Linked DNA regions of Daphnia pulex. The protein of the gene in region 3 purifies or fractionates together with the protein of the main gene of each other region. This does not show direct contact. Links are inferred from orthologs where the notes say so. Each region holds a gene or a part of one and is shown on either strand. Other genes may lie near its edges.

Region 1 (4,118 bases), on a different chromosome or scaffold from region 3:
AACAACAACAACAACATCCACCGACGGTACACAAGAAGAAGAAGAAGAAGAAGAAAAAGCTACGGGGGAGAGAGTCCGTTCTTCCATTTGTAGAGAAAAAAAAAAACAAAATTTCCTTTGGGGTTTTCATGACACTCTCTTTGGCCAAAGAGAAACAAAATAAGAAAAAAGATAGAGAAATAGGTAGGTATACAAGTTCTTTTAACGTACCCGTTAATGGATGTTTGGCTGACGAAAGGAGCGAGAAGCGTGCGGGCCACCAGGTGGAAAAGTTGAGTGAAGACGGCGTCCGAGCGCTCCTGGCAACGCTCCAAAAACACCTGCGTCTCGGCGTCGGCCCAGTCCAGCTGGAGGAACAACTCGGCGGCCTCCGGCTCCAACGCTTCCACGTTCACCTTATACCACTGCGAAAAAAAAAACAAAAAACAAAAAAAATAAAAATAAAAACAAGAAACAAAACAACAGTACGTCATTTATCTAATTCTTCTTTTCTCTCTTCGCCTTTTTCCATTCATTCCGGGGCAAAGGAAATCGAGTGAGGGCGATCACGGCCGACGGCGTCATAGTCGGAACAATCAAACTCTATATTATCAGTTCTTATTACGTGTCTGTGCGTGTGTGTGTGTGTGTGTTTTCCTCGTAATAGCCGATAACAAATCAGCGGCTTGATGGCTAGCGCCACCCGCACCATCGGCGGTCATCCGGCCAACTAACATTAAGGCCAATAACCTGCCGAAATAATATAACATGATGAAATAATGAAAAGAAGAAGAAAGAAGAAACCTAAACACACGCACACACACTGTGACACTGCAACGTTTTTGTGTTCGATTGTCAGTCCGCCCCGGCATTATGTAACACGTATGGAATTTTCTATTAGGCTGGCACCGAGGTGTCAATCTATTTGACAGCTAGACGCCCTCCTCCTTTTTCTTGTCCACTGACATTTGCACCGAGTTCAAAAAAAGATGTTGGAATTGAATCACACCAAAAGAGCGAGCCCTGTGAACAAGCCATGTGTCGCCCATTCACCGAGGAAATGTCAAAAACGTCAAAGAGTCCAAAATACTACTTTTTTTTTGTTCCACCCACTCTCGATTGGAGATTGTTTCACGGTAGTCTGCCAAGTCCCGTGAAACTGGGGAGGGAAAATATTATTAAGGTGAGTGATTGAAAAGAAGAGAAGAGGACGAAAACAATGCGTCTAAAAAATGAAATAACATCGTGAGAGGTTTCTAATGGTAAATAAAAGAAGAAAAAATAAACTGTTGCTTCGGTGTTTCGCTATTGTCGGGAGGCCGGAGATGGGGGGGAAGCCTGCGGACAACAGCAACAACGTTGCTCTGATTAAGAGAACAAACGCTACCTAATTACTGCCATTAAAGCCGGCAAGTTCGGGAGTGCCGGGCGACTGTGCACTCAAACAGGAAAGAAGAAGAAGAAGAACAAGTAAATGAAATGAAAAAAGAATAAGAACGTCGTCGCAAGGAGAAAGAAAGGAGGGAATAAGTAACGAGAAAGAAGGGAACAAACAATAAGTCTTGTGTGTGTGTGTGTGCCAGTGAAGAGAGAGAGAGAAGAACAAGTCTTTTCTTTCACGCCAAAGTGAAGCTAATTTACCATTCACGGCAGAATAAATTGAATGCGATGGGAACGAAAAGGGAGAAGAAAAAATAGACGAGATGGCCAAGGACGGAAAAAGAAACAAGGTCCCAGCTTCTTCTTCTTAACTTCCAATTTGAAACCTATAATTCCCTTGAATCCACCCTTTCCTTCGGTACCCGCACGACGGAAGTGTCTCTACAACGAACAAAAGGGGGAGGAGGGATTGAGCTTAGGGTGAGAGAGAAATTGTACGATTTTTAATTGGACTCGAGAGAAGAAATTCGGGAAGGAAAGACGAAGAAAAAAGGAAAAATAGCTTCGATAATAATGAGTTTGTAATTGCTAGGTTGGAAACATGATTAAAGCCGACCGCAAAACTACCCAGTGGGAAGAAGGTGGTGGTGGTGGAACGTCGACGTCGTGAGGTGGGGCGGCAGGGGCGGTGAAAGAAGCACTACGAAGGACGACGACTAAGACTAAGAGGAGTCGCCCTCATTTTCCCGATGTGGTTAACATCCCCGAGAGACCGCCATTCACGGCCATTGTGTTTGCCTAGGCTGTAAGACTAATTTATGATTCATTACTGATACCGCCCCATCACTAGACACAGCAACCAAGTGTTTCTCATCAATGTGAGGGCTGTGAATGACTCGTCACCTTGCAGATGTGGGAGTTACCTGAATGACGATGGGCTGGGATATAAGTGTGTGTGTGTGGGATTTACCTTGGTCCTGTCGAATTTCTTGAACTCTTCGTCCACCAGGATCTTGGAATAGACAGAACGGGTTAGAGCTGACCTGAAGTAAGGCCTGGATGTGGGTGTTGTTGCCGGAAGACACTCTTGGCAGCCAGCAGTATCACAGGAATCAACTGTTCTGGAATGGATCGAAACACTATCCATCCTGCCCGCTGAGCCAGGCATTGTGGCTGTTGCACTGAGGCACAGAAGCAGGCAGCAAAGAAACTGCGTGGTGGGCTTCAGTCGATAATTAACGAGTTCACATGCGTGCCACAACAAGCAGGGCATGGGAAACTTTCTCATCAAAACGGACGATCTAATTGATGCTTGATGTGGAAATATTAAGATGCCGTGCGACTACTTTTTCCGCTTGATTATAGTGTGACTTTCAATGCAACGAGAGTGGGCTGAGCCTAGACAGCATAAATAACAACAGCATATGCTTTTTAACGAAAGCATTCAAAAAATCTCGAGCTCTTGTCGTTCTTTTTCATAAAAATGTGGGCTGCAGCAGACGACGTCAACGTGATCGATGAAAAAGGTGAGGGCTAAACAGCAACTTGGCGGGCGGGCTCGATCGTGATTTATTCTCTGCACTCTGCAGAGAAAAGAAACGAAAATGCTTGCAACGAAATTGCGATGCATCAATTGAACCTCGCGATTTTTTCTCCTGCCATTTTCATTCATAAAAGAAAATGACATTTAATGCACGCGGGAATGATGCGAAACAACTGCCGGCAACAAAATCAGACACGACTCGCCAGCAGACACGCGAAACTAAAGAGACATTCTCCGAATAGTCTTGTGATCCCAAGCGGATCTTCAATATGTTTAACGTCCTGTTGTACCACAAACAAAATGCTGAACCATAAATAACCTCGAGTATAGTATAGTGAGGAGGATACAACACCGTACGATGAGAACAAAAACAAAGTAGACTGTCTACTGCCATTTTTGAATTCCGGTGCATACATAATACATGTGGCCAACGAAAAACGGGGGGGGAAAGATTTTTTTTTTCTCTTCCATGCACATCCGACGTATGCATAGTATATATGTATTACGCACACAAAAATATAAGCCCCTATAAGGTCTAACATTTCCTTCATATATATACCTGTGACCACAAAATCTATTGTGCATCGTTATGACAAGAAGAGGGGAAAGATTTCTTAGCCTTTTTATTATTATTATTATTTTCTACTGTATGTGAGAGTGTAGCAACCCCCATCAGGATTTTGGTGAATGATGGGAGGGTAAGTTTTCTTTTTTTTTTTCTTCTAGAAAAATAGAAATCGGTCGTTTTTGTGAAGCTGCCCCGTTGCATCCCAGTGTCGTTTGTCACACCCTGGGCCACAGTGGAACATGAGAATAAAAACTTTTGGGGGCTAACAAAAAAGAAAAAAAAATGAAACAACTACAAAAATAAGAAGCTGTTGGAATTGGTAGATGGCACGTCCCTAAGCACACAGTCACATCTATACCTGCCAGCTACCCAACGTATTATGGGTCAAAGGTTTCCTGAACTGTGTCTAGCTTGGAGAACCCCCCACATTGGTATTATTCGTTATTTTCTTCCCCCCCCCCCGATCCTCTATACTACACTGGAAGAAAGAAAGAAAGAAAAAGAATAAAGGTGCAGTCGTGCAAGAAGACGGACGGACGATGAAGGAGCTAATGAACGCGACTCTCCATCCATCCGACCGTCTCTCTCTCCCCCCAATGGGTGGAATGCTGTTGGAAAAAGACAGACACACACACACACAGCACACAC
Region 2 (3,295 bases), on a different chromosome or scaffold from region 3:
ATTCACCAGAGTTTATGGAATCAGCCAAATAAATGTTGGTTTCCACCCGACCGACCCAAATCAGTCTACACATGTAAACTTGAGTAAAATAGTAAAATTCTGTCACCAAAAAATAACTCGGATAACTCAAAACGAGGAGGTGCCGGTGAGGCTTGGTCAACAAATTGTCTTGTTGAACTTTGCTTGAAGTGTTCAAAGTTGAAATATTTTCAAATGTGATGGTTTACCCACAGAAAAAGTTGTGAGGTAAAAAACAAAACAAGCCTGATCTGAAGTCGTACAACAAATGGGATTTTTAGTGAACCCTGACTGAGAAAAACAAAAACGGAGAGAGAAAACAGTTGCAGTCAACAACCGTCTAGCTCAGGAAGAAACGTACTCCGTGACTACTTAACGATTTAAAATCAACCCCACCAAAAATTGTCAAAAAGGAAGAATAGAGATCAATTTTGTCCTACCTTAGTGCCTGGGAAATACAGCCAGGCATCCACAAGTCCATCGCTGAAGAGTTAAATTGCACCAGGATAAGATATAAAGGGTGTCCTCGTGAATACACCCACATTCACATGGGCGTACACGAGGACATTTAAAGAAAGGGGGAAAAGAGAAATCCGTAACTCGATTGACATCGGTAGTTTTGCTAATGCAATGGGATACTGTGTATCTAAATGAAAAAAGAAAATGGGTTACGAATAAATATTGATAGAAACAACAAGTCAGGAAAAGTTGAAAATGAGACACTGGGTAAACCCTAATTATTAATAAATGGGAGAATGAAAGGTGTATACATGTAATACACTGCATTGATGCAGGTAATGCAGCAATGCATGCAATTAAAATATCTAGTAGGTCACAGGTCAATTTTAAATTAAAGGAAATCATTACCCAAGCGATGATCCTGAGATTGTTGCTAATGACAGGTTTAACACCTGCACAAGAAAAACTTGCATATTGTGTGGAACCTTATGATGGCTGGCTCTGGCCTCAAATCTGCAAAAAAGAAAAATGTTAGGTTACAAACTGCTATGCATCGAAATTCGAAAGGGCAATTAAAAATGATAAATGCTAGTCAGGAAAGTTCTCACATTTCACAAATTAATTTGAATTAAACCAGGGTCATAATGATTTTTTATATGATTCACAGATTCACTTGATCTACTGTCCCGACTGCTAATGCACGAATGAATAAGGTTGGCGTGAAATTTTGAAAATAAACCATGGTCTATGAGTACCATGAATAAACTAGTAAAATTTGCAAGTTGGTGCCAAAAAATAACTCGAAAATCAAAATAACATGGCATTAGAGCCACTACAATCATCGTAGGCAATGCTGTTTGTAGGTGGAGCCACCATATTCCTGTGGTTATGTAGGATGGTTGATTTGCTTATTGTGATTCTATGCCCAAATCAATCCATCTATTTCTTTTCCTGCTTGCTACATGTTCTTTTTTAGTTTGCTTGTATTATAACGAAATCGAGAAGAATGTGAGTCGAAGATTTGGGCCCCATTTGTTGGGCTCTAATCTTCGAAACTTGCGCTCAAGTGAAGATATCTCGGGATTGACAGGTGCAGTGCTCAACAATGTCACGCCCTCAGCATCTGTTCAACATGGCGATGAATACCAGAATAACTCTGCCCTTACTTACTACAGTGCCAATACCAAGAATGCCAATGTTTCGTCGACGGAAGCCATTCATCTTGCTGTGATTTTCTGTAATGTTGGACAAAAGGCTGCTCTAAAATGGAATTTCAAAAAAATGACTCGTTCACTCATCAAACTCTGCTCCAAAAACATTGCTTTGCATTTTCATTTGGTAACTGATCCAAGTAGCTGGGAAATAGCCAAAGAGATTATTCATAATGAATCAAAGAAAACTCAAACCAATATCCAAGTAAGATCTTATGTGAACTTTGTTAGAGGTTTTTTTAATGTTGTTTCTTCTCCTTTCAGGTATCAGCCTATTTTATAGACACTTTTGTCAAGCAATTTGTCACTACTGTTCAAGTGCTTCAGCAATATTTTAGTGTTAAGCAAGGGACTTATTACAGTCAAGCACTGTTCTATGTATCTGTGCAACTACCAGATTTGATCCCTTCTGATGTTACCAGACTCATATTTGTGGATGTGGATACAGAGTTCCGGGACAGCGTTGAGAAGCTCAACCAGCAATTTGAATACTTTGATGATCAGCAACTGCTTGGATTAGCCCCTGAATTGTCACCAGTTTATCGCCATATACTCTATGTTTACCGGAATCAACACAAGACTTCATTACTAGGAGAACCTAAAGGAAAAGGCTTTCCTGGCTACAATAGTGGAGTGGTGTTGATGAAATTAGACAAAATGAGGCAGTCTGTCATCTATCAGTCACTCCTCACTAATTCTTCACTAGGTAACTTGACAGACAAGTACAGCTTCAAGGGACATTTGGGTGATCAAGATTTCTACACACTTGTTGCATTGGAATATCCTCAATTATTTTATACACTCCCTTGTAACTGGAATAGGCAATTGTGCCAATGGTGGAAGTCAAAAGGCTATGATGACATATTTGATCAGTTTTATGAATGTAAAGGTTTTATCAGTTTGTATCATGGGAACTGCAACAGTCAAATTCCTGATGCCAATAATTAATTTGCCAATTCATGTCTAGCTTAACACATTTGCTCTCTACTGGTGCCATATATATATATTTCAGAAATTATACAAGATATGCTTTATCTGGTTAAATCTTTTGTTAATGACTATTTTACTTGGCACACACAGCCTACATCTTTACCAGCAATCATCAAATGTTCTCCACTAGCGGTCCAATCTGCACGATCTGCTTTTAGAGCTGAAGCAATTATATTGGTAGGTCGAAGATCCGTAATAGCACTACCCACGGGTGTCCAGGCATAGAAATTACCGTTTCCACAGACGGTAGCCAAACGAGGATCAGTATGGGACCATTTGAAACCTAGATGATATTTCATTTATGTAAAAATTTTTATGGATGAGATAAGAAAGAAAATACTTCTGATCGCGGAGCAATGCACCAGTACACTTTTAAGCGAGAAATAAGGTAATTCCCAAATCCATAATACACGGGGTCGTTGTTGATCGAAGACGGCCAAGTATCGTGCGTCAGAACTAAAGGCCAAAATAAGCTGCCCAACGGAAGATTCGCCTGGTAATGTAAAAGGTCGATCTTCAACGATTTGATCTGAGAAGAAAGAATTTTAAGAATAAGAAACTGAATTGTAGAACAACGTTTTTGAAAAGAACTCACACTTCAGTTGGTCTTCAGACTC
Region 3 (2,435 bases):
GACGCAACAGGTAATTTGACTAAATAAATGGCTGGCTATAAAAGCCACTAAAAGTAATAGAATGAGCTAATAAAAAGCAAAAGAGTCACGACAAATAAAACATTCCCCCCTCCAAACAAAAGCAGGAAATTGGGCGGTCAAAAGGTCGAAAGTGGTAAAGGCGGTGCTGACGACGGCGAGGAATGCGTTCCGCTTCAAGAGACTCCCGGACCGAGCGACGTTCCACAGAATCGAGTCGGAACGCCAGTTTAACAAAACACACAATCCAACTGTTGATGAGGCTAAAAATAATAATAACAAATGATTTCAAATCCAGTCAACCATCAAAACGTTTCTGTAATTGAATATAAGAAACATAAGCTCATCAATCTTAACAAGATTTTTTTTTTAAATAAAAATATACTCAACTTTTTCATCAATTAATTTTTCAAGAAAACAAAATTCTTACTGTTTCTTTTTTCCGCTTGTTTTGGTATTCGTGTGTGTGAGCTTCCTTTTGAATTCTCCCGCCGTTGTCGTATAATCTTGCCGCCATTCAACTTTTAAAAATATCATCCGAAAATTGTGTTTTTCTCCTCCTATCGCTTCGAAATCATCCCCCATTTGAATGTCTAATTGCATTATATATCAATGTCACAAATACAAGATAAAAAAAGATTGTGTGAGGGGACGACATTGAAAGTTTATAGACAAGAAGAAGAAGGACAAAACAATTTCAGGCCACACTCAAAAGTGATTGGATTAAGCAAAATTTTGTTTCGACGGAGAACGAGACGATAAAAAAGAGTGAAACAAAACAAACAACAAAAAAGAAAAAAACTACTCGAGTCAACACAGACAATACGGCAACAAAGGCCGGCAGTTTGTTTGTACACAATTTCAAAAAAAAAAAAAAAGTGACACACACGTCGAGGATTGAGAGACTCGACGCGTATTTTGAGAGGAACATGACACCATCAAAATTCATTTTTTGGATGGAGCAAATCTGTTTTTAAAAAACAAACAATTATCAACCGAATATAAACGCAAAAAAATTCTAGGTTGGGATCGCTTAGCACTTTTGTTTATAAAAAATTTTCCACTTTTGTCAAGTTTGTTTCAGTCAAACTTGTGATAAAACCAAAAAAGGATGGCTGGATTCTGTTGAATAAAAATCAGGACTTGATTGCAATGGAATTGACGTCATGAAGTAAACGTGAATGAGCCGCCGCTTCTTGCTCGGCGCAGCACGAATTGGCCAGCATCAACTCGTCCGCTCCGCTTTCATCCGCTCTTGGCAATGGATTGGGCGCCACGATCCGGTTGGCCAGTCCGTTGGCTGTCGAACGCTGACGGCAATCGTTGGCAGTGATTTCCAGTAACTGTTCAGTCTCTCGACCCTCCAAGTTCCAACACAGAAAAAAGCTCAAATATTATTCCGCTTGATCAAAATTAAATTTAGTGAAAAGCGAATCGCCATTCCAGTTGAGGTGTTTTCGGCATGCAAGAAAAAAAGGTAAATAATAATAGGGAGAAGAAAGAAATTAAAGAAAAAACAATTTTTATTAATACGAAGAAGGGCATTTAGAAAATAATCAAAAGTTGGCCAAAGAAAAAAAAGCGATTCGTGTAGAATGTTGGGGCAGGTAGGTAGGAGTAATGTGCACTTTTAATGTGTGGCAAGAGCATAGCAGTGTCATAAAGCAATCAAACTCAAAACTAAATGTGACTACCTACATCCTCGAGAACTATAATTCCGTCACCAAGGGTCGGGTTTTGTTGACCGACGCCCTTTACCTGTTTGGATGGACCGCAGCAAGTGTTGGCTTCGCACGTCTCTTTGGCTGGGCAATCCAATGCGCAACTCTCTGTCTCGCTGGCACTTTCGTCTCCAGGAAGCTAATAAATCAATGAAATGTTTTAAAAATTAACTTCTCTTTTTTGATTAAAGGTTTAAAAACAAAATACTTCAGTGAATTCTGGCTGGATGGTAGTCGAGTGAATTCCTTCATTGTGGAAAAATTCTTTGACCCTCTCGGCGATTTTCATATAGTCCGACAGATTGCGGCACCTTTTATTACATTTGAACAAACTCAACGGATGAAACAGTGACACAATTGAATTATGTAAGGAAAGCACGTACCGAATGTGAGCTGAAGCGATAATCCGATCTCCTGCCAGCTGCCAGACGTGAAATTCGTGGACTGCCAAAACTCCTTCAACTTGGCTAAGCAATTTGCGCTGAATGTCGTCCAACTGGATGTGAGTCGGGACGGTTTGCAGTAGAATCAAGGCAGACTCGTGCACTGCGCCAAGAATAACACGAAACATAAATTATGATAATGTGAACGGCAAACAATGGCGTAAAAGTATTGATTTTGTTCTTTTCCCACTTACACAATGGCCAAGTGGACCACATAATCAGGCAGACCATGGCCACGCTGAGAGCGGGATCA

Evidence for each region.
Region 1: the proteins of zinc/cadmium resistance protein-like (region 3) and protein-L-histidine N-pros-methyltransferase-like purify together in Homo sapiens (co-immunoprecipitation; 3 studies listed by BioGRID and IntAct, with this or other methods). This does not show direct contact. The link is inferred for Daphnia pulex from reciprocal best matches to the Homo sapiens genes SLC30A1 and METTL9.
Region 2: the proteins of zinc/cadmium resistance protein-like (region 3) and xyloside xylosyltransferase 1-like purify together in Homo sapiens (co-immunoprecipitation; 3 studies listed by BioGRID and IntAct, with this or other methods). This does not show direct contact. The link is inferred for Daphnia pulex from reciprocal best matches to the Homo sapiens genes SLC30A1 and XXYLT1.

The regions. Positions count from the first base shown.
Region 1 is NC_060019.1:9,214,844-9,218,961, forward strand, and holds the start of protein-L-histidine N-pros-methyltransferase-like, read right to left. Parts: upstream 2,888-4,118; 5' UTR 2,648-2,887; coding exon 2,330-2,647; intron 405-2,329; coding exon 211-404; intron 1-210. UniProt on the Homo sapiens protein: Protein-histidine N-methyltransferase that specifically catalyzes 1-methylhistidine (pros-methylhistidine) methylation of target proteins.
Region 2 is NC_060021.1:8,468,093-8,471,387, reverse strand, and holds xyloside xylosyltransferase 1-like, read left to right. Parts: upstream 1-1,334; 5' UTR 1,335-1,398; coding exon 1,399-1,893; intron 1,894-1,952; coding exon 1,953-2,636; 3' UTR 2,637-2,732; downstream 2,733-3,295. Other genes in the region: WD repeat-containing protein WRAP73-like, read right to left, coding at 2,747-2,961, 3,019-3,207, 3,274-3,295. UniProt on the Homo sapiens protein: Alpha-1,3-xylosyltransferase, which elongates the O-linked xylose-glucose disaccharide attached to EGF-like repeats in the extracellular domain of target proteins by catalyzing the addition of the second xylose.
Region 3 is NC_060026.1:1,535,385-1,537,819, reverse strand, and holds the end of zinc/cadmium resistance protein-like, read right to left. Parts: coding exon 2,377-2,435; intron 2,286-2,376; coding exon 2,123-2,285; intron 2,051-2,122; coding exon 1,948-2,050; intron 1,879-1,947; coding exon 1,777-1,878; intron 1,380-1,776; coding exon 1,155-1,379; 3' UTR 603-1,154; downstream 1-602. Other genes in the region: uncharacterized protein LOC124204766, read left to right, coding at 1-10, 123-252. UniProt on the Homo sapiens protein: Zinc ion:proton antiporter that could function at the plasma membrane mediating zinc efflux from cells against its electrochemical gradient protecting them from intracellular zinc accumulation and toxicity.